Linked DNA regions of Callithrix jacchus. The main gene of each other region encodes a partner of the protein of the gene in region 2 in a complex. Links are inferred from orthologs where the notes say so. Each region holds a gene or a part of one and is shown on either strand. Other genes may lie near its edges.

Evidence for each region. Proteins that work in one complex are often made in the same cells at the same time.
Region 1: the proteins of RAB8A (region 2) and RILPL2 are in contact, whole or in part, in a crystal structure (PDB 6SQ2), measured with the Homo sapiens proteins. The link is inferred for Callithrix jacchus from reciprocal best matches to the Homo sapiens genes RAB8A and RILPL2. Residues at the interface, in NP_005361.2 of Homo sapiens: Ile41, Gly42, Ile43, Asp44, Phe45, Lys46, Ile47, Lys58, Trp62, Phe70, Ile73, Tyr77; in NP_659495.1 of Homo sapiens: Leu135, Leu138, Arg139, Leu142, Gln143, Arg145, Asn146, Lys149, Ser150, Leu153, Glu157.

The regions. Positions count from the first base shown.
Region 1 is NC_133510.1:126,610,033-126,613,678, forward strand, and holds part of RILPL2 (RILP-like protein 2), read right to left. Parts: exon of another isoform or gene 3,004-3,646; intron 346-3,003; coding exon 232-345; intron 1-231. UniProt on the Homo sapiens protein: Involved in cell shape and neuronal morphogenesis, positively regulating the establishment and maintenance of dendritic spines. Plays a role in cellular protein transport, including protein transport away from primary cilia.
Region 2 is NC_133523.1:14,726,884-14,730,629, forward strand, and holds the start of RAB8A (ras-related protein Rab-8A), read left to right. Parts: upstream 1-1,008; 5' UTR 1,009-1,022; coding exon 1,023-1,146; intron 1,147-3,746. UniProt on the Homo sapiens protein: The small GTPases Rab are key regulators of intracellular membrane trafficking, from the formation of transport vesicles to their fusion with membranes.

The DNA of each region.
Region 1 (3,646 bases), on a different chromosome or scaffold from region 2:
TTGCAGGGTCACTGTGATAATTCGATGAATTCATATATGCCAAGTGCCTAAGCTACTGCCTGGCAGATATCATTATAATACACTGGCGTTGAGTTTTCCCATGAGCTGCAGCACCACAACTGGGAGAGGGGAGGGCCTGCCTGCCCTGGACAGCTGGACAGCCTCCTCTCGCCCCAACTGCTTCCTTGAGTTATTATTTAGTGGGACCGGGGGCAGCAGGGTGACACTTACAGCTTCTTTATGATTGTCTTCTCCTCCTTGCTCCTGCTGGCATTGTTGGCCCTGGTAACTACAGCATCTTTTTCTGTTCTTCCTTCTGGGCCTTCTCTTGGTGAAATCAGGCCACTGAGAAACATGGGGCAAAAATTCAATGAGTTATTTTATTACAGATCTTTTTTTTTTTTTTTTTTTTTTGAGTTGGAGTCTTGCTCTGTTGCTCAGTCTGGAATGCATAGTGTGATCTCGGCTCACTCAGCTTCCGCTTCCCAGGTTCAAACGATTCTCCTGCCTTGGTCTCCTGAATAGGTGGGACGACAGGCACCCCCCACCATGCCTGGCTAATCTTTGTATTTTTAGTAGAAATCAGGTTTCACCATGTTGGCCAGGCTAGTCTCAAACTCCTGACCTCAAGTGATCCATCTGCCTCAGCCTCCCAAAGTGCTGGGATTATAGGTGTGAGCCACTGCACCTGGCCTTTATTACAGACCTCTTATCTGTGCAGCTCTGAAAATAAAGGATCTTAATGATGATGATTATGATTATAGTAATAATATTATGGTTGAAAGCACTAGAGTCAGAGAAATTCTGTTTCAAATGAGAATCTTCCCTCTACCTTTCCAATGTGATGCCTCTTATTTCTTTCTCTTACCTAATTGCATTGGCTACTACTTCAAGCTTCTCAACCTTCTCAACCTTCTAGGAATATGACTGCGTATACATTCTCTAACTTAAGCCTTGGTTTCCTAACCTGTAAAATGAGTCTAATAATAGTCCCTACCTCAAAGGATCGAGAGATTAGGTAAGATAATACATAGTGCGTAACATTCAACAAATATTTATTAAGCTACCTGCTGTGGTTAATAAATATTTTGTCTCTGAATAAAACAAAACTAATATCTTCTCTCATGTAATTTATATTCCGGTGGGGGAAGGAAACAGTCAATAAATAAAGCAATAAGTAAAATAAAAGTATAAATCGTAAGTCAGATGGTGATAAGAGCTAGATTTATATTGATTGATATTATAGTCAGATAATATTGAGATCTGGCTCAAGGAGGGCCAGAGTATTTCCCTGGACTTGATGTAGAAAATGAGAAAAAGTGTGGTTTCCTCATACTCCACTGGAATTGCCAGAAGTCTGTTTCTAAGATTTAGAGAAAGCTTATCTGTAATGCAAACTAATGAGCGCACGAGCAAAGAAAGCCAAAGAGGAGAAAGAGAGGCACCAAGTCCCTGATTCCAACCACTGTAAATTTCTTTCTTTTTATTTCCTTTTTTTTTTTGAGATGGAGTCTGGCTCTGTTGCCCAGGCCTGAGTGCATTGGCATGATCTTGGCTCACTGCAACCTCAACCTCCTGGGTTCAAGCAATTCTCCTGCCTCAGCCTCCCAAGAAGCTGGGATTACAGGCCTGCACCACCATGCCCAGCTAATTTTTGTATTTTTAGTAGAGACGAGGTTTCACTGTGTTGGCCAGGTTGGTCTATTTCCGTTTTTTTTTTTTTTTTGAGAGGGAGTCACGCTCTGCCTGCCATGCTGGAGTGCAGTGGCCCCATCCCAGCTCACTGCAACCTCTGCTTCCCAGGCTCAAGCGATTCTCGTGCCTCAGCCTCCCAAGTAGCTGAGATTGTCTTGCTAATTTTTGTATTTTTAGTAGAGACGGAGTTTCAACATGTTGGCCAGGCTGGTCTCAAACTCCTCACCACCTCAAGCGACCTGCCTGCCTCAGATTCCCCAAGTGCTGAGGCACTGTTTCTGGCCTTCCTTTTTTTTTGAGATAGGGTCTTACTGTCACTCAGGTTGTAGTGCAGTGGCATGATCATCGCTCACTGTAACTGAATTCCTGGGCTCCAGTGATCCTCCCACCTCAGTCTCCCAAGTAGCTAAGATCATAGGCATGCGCCATCATGCCAGCTTATTGTTTAATTTTTGTAAACATAGGGTCTCACTATGTTGCCAAGGCTGGTCTCGAATTTTTGGCCTCAAGTGATCCTCCCACCTTGGCCTTCCCAAAGTGCTGAGATTACAGGCTTGAGCTAGCCATTGCACCTAGCCCCTACCCAGTGATGTTACCAAAAAGTTTCCTTTTGTGTTTAAGCTAGTTTAAATTGGACTTTTGTCACTTGCAACCATAAGAAGCCTGACCAAAATGAAATATTTCAATTATGGCACAGTACAACTCATTACATCCACTTAGGTGTTCTGTTGCAGTGCCCACTGGTTAATTAGCCCTCGTGGTGTCCCCTTGCTGTGGACTGAATTATGTGTCTTTACTTATTTATTTATTTTTGAGACGGACTCTTGCTCTATCGCCAGGCTGGGGTGCAGTGGGGCGATCTCAGCTCAACTGCAACCTCTGCCTCCCAGGTTCAAGTGATTCTCCTGCCTCAGCCTCTCGAGTAGCTGGGACTACAGTGCACCACCATGCTCAGCTCATTTTGTATTTTTTTTTTTTGAGATGGAGTTTCGCTCTTGTTACCCAGGCTGGAGTGCAATGGCGCGATCTCAGCTCATCGCAACCTCCGCCTCCTGGGTTCAGGCAATTCTCCTGCCTCAGCCTCCTGAGTAGCTGGGATTACAGGCACGTGCCACCATGCCCAGCCAATTTTTTGCATTTTAGTAGAGACAGGGTTTCACCGTGTTGACCAGGATGGTCTCGATCTCTTGACCTCTTGATCTACCTGCCTCGGCCTCCCAAAGTGCTGGGATTACAGGCGTGAGCCACCGTGCCGGGCCATGTATTTCTTTTCTTTTTTTTTTTTTTTTCTATTCACAAAGAAAAAGCTCCAGTCCATCTTTTAATTTTTTTGAAAAATTCCTGACATTACAGAACTAAACTGAAATGTATTAATATTCCACTCTTACATTTCCATGACAAACAGAAAAATTCATGAGCCAAAATAAAAAAAAAAAAACCAGGGAGAAGCTTATAAAACTAAATATGGATCTCAGCATCAACAGCTGAACAGAGAAAGGAATTAAAATGCTTTAATTAAAAAATCACGAGTGGATGATAAAGTGTGTAGAAACTGAAAATTTACAAACTATTTAAAACCTGGAATCGCTGACTGTTCAGAAACTACACAGATGGATCATGGGTGGTGGTGAACAGCAGAAAGGGATTATGGATGAATCTGCATTGTTATAGCTGCTCCCCATGCCACCCGTCACCAAGGAAAGCCTGACATTGATTAGATATTGAGCCAGGCTAATGCTGGCAGCAGATCCAGTGATGGTAACCTGCCTATCAGTAGATCCTTCCACTGGGTTCGCAATTTTGATCTGCGCCCCAGACATCTGACGGATCTCATTGATTTTGGCGCCCTGACGCCCGATTATGCAGCCAATCAAATCGTTTGGAATGGTGAGTTCATGAGAAGTAGTCTGAGCGGATGCATCCAAACCTGCACTGAATCCGGTGTTGCCAT
Region 2 (3,746 bases):
CCCAGGCTGGAGTGCAGTGGGGCAATCAAGGCTAGTGGAGCCTCAATCTCCTGGCCTCAAGCGATCCTCCGCCTCGGCCTCCAGAAGCGCTATGATCACAGGCGGAAGCCACCGCGACGGTCTGTTTTTTCAATGTTGAGAGGACCACCAGACACAGAACCGCCGACCCTAGATAGGACCCAGCATCCTCACTGCCCTAACCCGCAAGGCTGGCCCGGACAACCCCTAAGGCGGCCGAGGGCGGGCCCTGAGGGGGACGGCGCGCGCCTTGGGGCACAGCTCGTGGCGGTGACGCCGCTCAGGTGGCGGAGAGCTTGGGTATCTCTAAGCAGGTTGCCAAGCCACAGCCGAGACCTCGGATCTCGCCTCGGGGGTCACTTTTCGATTATACAGCGCTTCCTCTCTCCTTCCTCCCTCGGCTCACGCTGCCCCGGCAGACCACAGACGTATAAAAAAGCTCTTCAGTCCTTTCCCGCGCTCGCTTCGGCGCCTACTGAGGCTGCGCGAATTGTGAGGGCGAGACCCAGAGATACCCTCCCCAACTATGCGCGTGCGCCCTCTGCTGGCGCCTAACGGACCTCCGGGTGCGCGTGCGCACGCACCCCAAGCCCCGCCCACAGACTGTCGGCGCGCGAGCCGTTGGCGCTGCTCGCTGCTTTCCCTCTCCCATTTTGGGGCGGGGCCGGGCCGCCGAGTCTGTGGTGGAGGCAGGGGCCACATAATGCCACGCCCCCGTCTCGTCCCCCTTTGAAGCCCCTCGACTCTTTACTGCTGGTCAATCAGAGCCCGTCCTCATATCAGTGCTGGCCAATGGGAGGTACGCTCGGGCTGCTTCCGGCTCCGCGCTACGCTCGCCCCCTCCCCAGGTCTCCCCGCGGCGGGCGGGACTCAGGGGCGAGTGTCGGCCGCGGTGACACGCTGCGGGCCTGGAGCCAATAAGGGGCGGGCTCGGCGCTGATGGACGGGGCTGGTGGCCAGTGGATAGGCGCTAGCTGCACTTCCTGTCGGGGAGAGAGTGTAATATGGCGAAGACCTACGATTACCTGTTCAAGCTGCTGCTGATCGGGGACTCGGGGGTGGGGAAGACCTGTGTCCTGTTCCGCTTCTCCGAGGACGCCTTCAACTCCACGTTTATCTCCACCATAGGTAGCGGGATCCGGGAGTGGCTAGGGGCGCCGGAGGCCCGGGCTGGGCGCGCCCCTGAGGGGCTGGGGCTGAGAAATCTACCCTGCTGGGCGGGCCGAGGGCTCTGAGAGGGTCGAAGGGAGAAGAGCAGCCGCCTGCACCGCCGTTTCGGGGTTCATGGGCCGTGGCGGGGGAGACCAGGTGCCCATTTTGCAGATGGGGTGACTGAGGCTCCCATCCTCAGCCCGCTCGTTAGGGAGTGTTATGTCCTGGGCAGGCGTCTTCGCACCCGTCCTTTCGGTCTGTCCTAGCAGCAGCCCTCGAAGCGGTTCTTTTGCGGTTCCTGTCTTACAGAGGTGGAAACTGAGTCATGAGGAATTGGCTGTGGGAAAAAGACGGTGACATGTCGCCTTAATGAGCAATTGCTATGTGCCAAGTCCTTCACGTGCATTTCCACACTCTAGTTTCGGTGTTTTAAGTGCTGTTATGAGCCCGTCTCACAGATGAGTAATTTGAGGCTCAGGGAGGGCGTGGGACTTATCCAAGGCCACACAGTCTGCAGGTGGTGAGAATGGGATTTAATGGAATTTAATCCTGGCTGTGTCTCACCCCAAAACTCGAGGCTTAGCTCTTCTAGAGAGTTAGCACCACACACCCCTGGCTGATGACAAACTCAGTTAATGCACCTTGGAGCCGGGACTCTAACTCACACCATTCCTCCTCTTCTCTGGAGCATCCAGAGGTTGAGTCCCTCTCCTTGCCATGTTTTCCCCCATAAGTGTATTTTCCTCTAGAAGAAATGATAAGAGGAGTCAGGACCTTTTCCCTGCCTGCCTTTTATCCTGCTCCAGGATGACAGCAATGGCAAGTGACAGTGCTGCCTGCCCTGGGACCTGTCATCCCCAAGAAGATGCAAGATAAAACCCTCAATGAGAAACTAAATCAGCCACTGCCACAGACAGCCTTGACTTCCCTATCAAAGGGCCCAGGACACCGGTTGTCAATTTAGAACAGCTTTTCCCGTAGGGCCAGCCCACATCGTGGTTGAACAAAATTGGCTTGTTGTGATGTCTCAGTTGTGATGTCCACAGAAGTAGAGTTGACCTCTCTCAGCGCCACAGAAGCAGTCCTGGCCCACGATGAAAAGGTTAGACCTGGGAGTAACACCGATCAGAGTGGCCTGTGAGCTCTGCAGCCCTGCTAGGGATGGGGATAGTGAGGGAACGGTCACTAAGTCAAGGAGTTTATTCAAAGTCAAGAAAACATAGAGAATGGCCTTTGCTTTATGTGTGACTTCAACAGAATCGTGTTATCTCCCTAAATCTCATGATAATGTGCCAATTCCATTCTTGCCCCCCTCGAGGAGCTGCACTTTATGAAACAGTTATATGCCAGATGTAAAGTAGAGAGAATTAACTGGAAATCATCATGTCTGGTTCCTAGTTGCTGCTGGCCCTTGAACGTGCACTACCCCTCTCTGACCCCTGCTGTCTTCAGAGCAGGAGTGACGCTGTCTGCCTGGGCTAGTGCCCTGGTGGTTGAGGACTAGAATTAGACAATAAGGGGTTGTCATCACAACCAGAGGCCATCTAGAGAAAACAAATGAATGGCTCCTGTGGTGACAGCTTCCACCCTCTGAAGACAGATGTTTCTGAATTCTTCCCCCTCCCCCACTCCAAGGCCAAGCTTTAGGGTAACCCTTGTGCCCCAGCCAATCAAAAAGTGGCTTTAATTCAGCCTGGACGACAGGGCAAAACCCCATCTCTGCAAAAAATCAAATGAAATTAGCTAGGCATAGTGGCTCACCCATGTAGACCCAGCCACTTAGGAGGCTTAGGTGGGAGGGTGGATTGAGCGCAGGAGGTCAAGGTGCGGTGAGCTCTGATGGCGCCACTGCACTCCAGCCTGGGCAACAGAGCGAGACCCTGTCTCAAAAAAAAAGAATACAACTGTGGGCAGACTGTGGCTTGCATTTACCCAGTTCCCAGTTTCCTAGCCTCAGCACCTTCCCCTCAAACCCCCTCTTTAGAGTTACTTTAAAGCTTTAAAGAGGCCATCTTCCATTTGCAGATGAGGATATGACTTGGTGAAAGTTAACCTAGCAAGGTGACCCCAAGATCCCTCCCTCCCACCCCAGCGTTCCGCTCCTTCCATTTGTAGCCTTCTGTCTTCTAGGAAAGTCTAATTCACCGTGACCTTGAAGTTCAGGCCTCATAATTCTTAGGTCTCATAAAGTTTGCACTTCCTAATTAAATTTGGCGTGTTAATAAAACCCAGCAGGAGTGTAGGGCAGAGCGCTACTGTGGAGCTTAGCCAACCTAACAGTGCTCCTTGATTTTGTGTGTCCCTGTGCACGCATGGCAGGAGGTGGGGTATGCTTTAGGAAGCCTAGGCACACTGGGCTGTCTAATCCTGAAGCAGAATCTCTCAATGCTTAAAGACAATTCCATAAATTAGCCAGACGTGGTGGCACTTGCCTATAGTCCCAGCTACTCGTGAGGCTGAGGCAGGAGAATCGCTTGAACCCAGGGGGCAGAAGTTGCAGTGAGCCGAGATTGTGCCACTGCACTCCAGCCTGGGCAACAGAGCGAGACTGTCTCAAAAAAAAAAAAAAAAAGCGA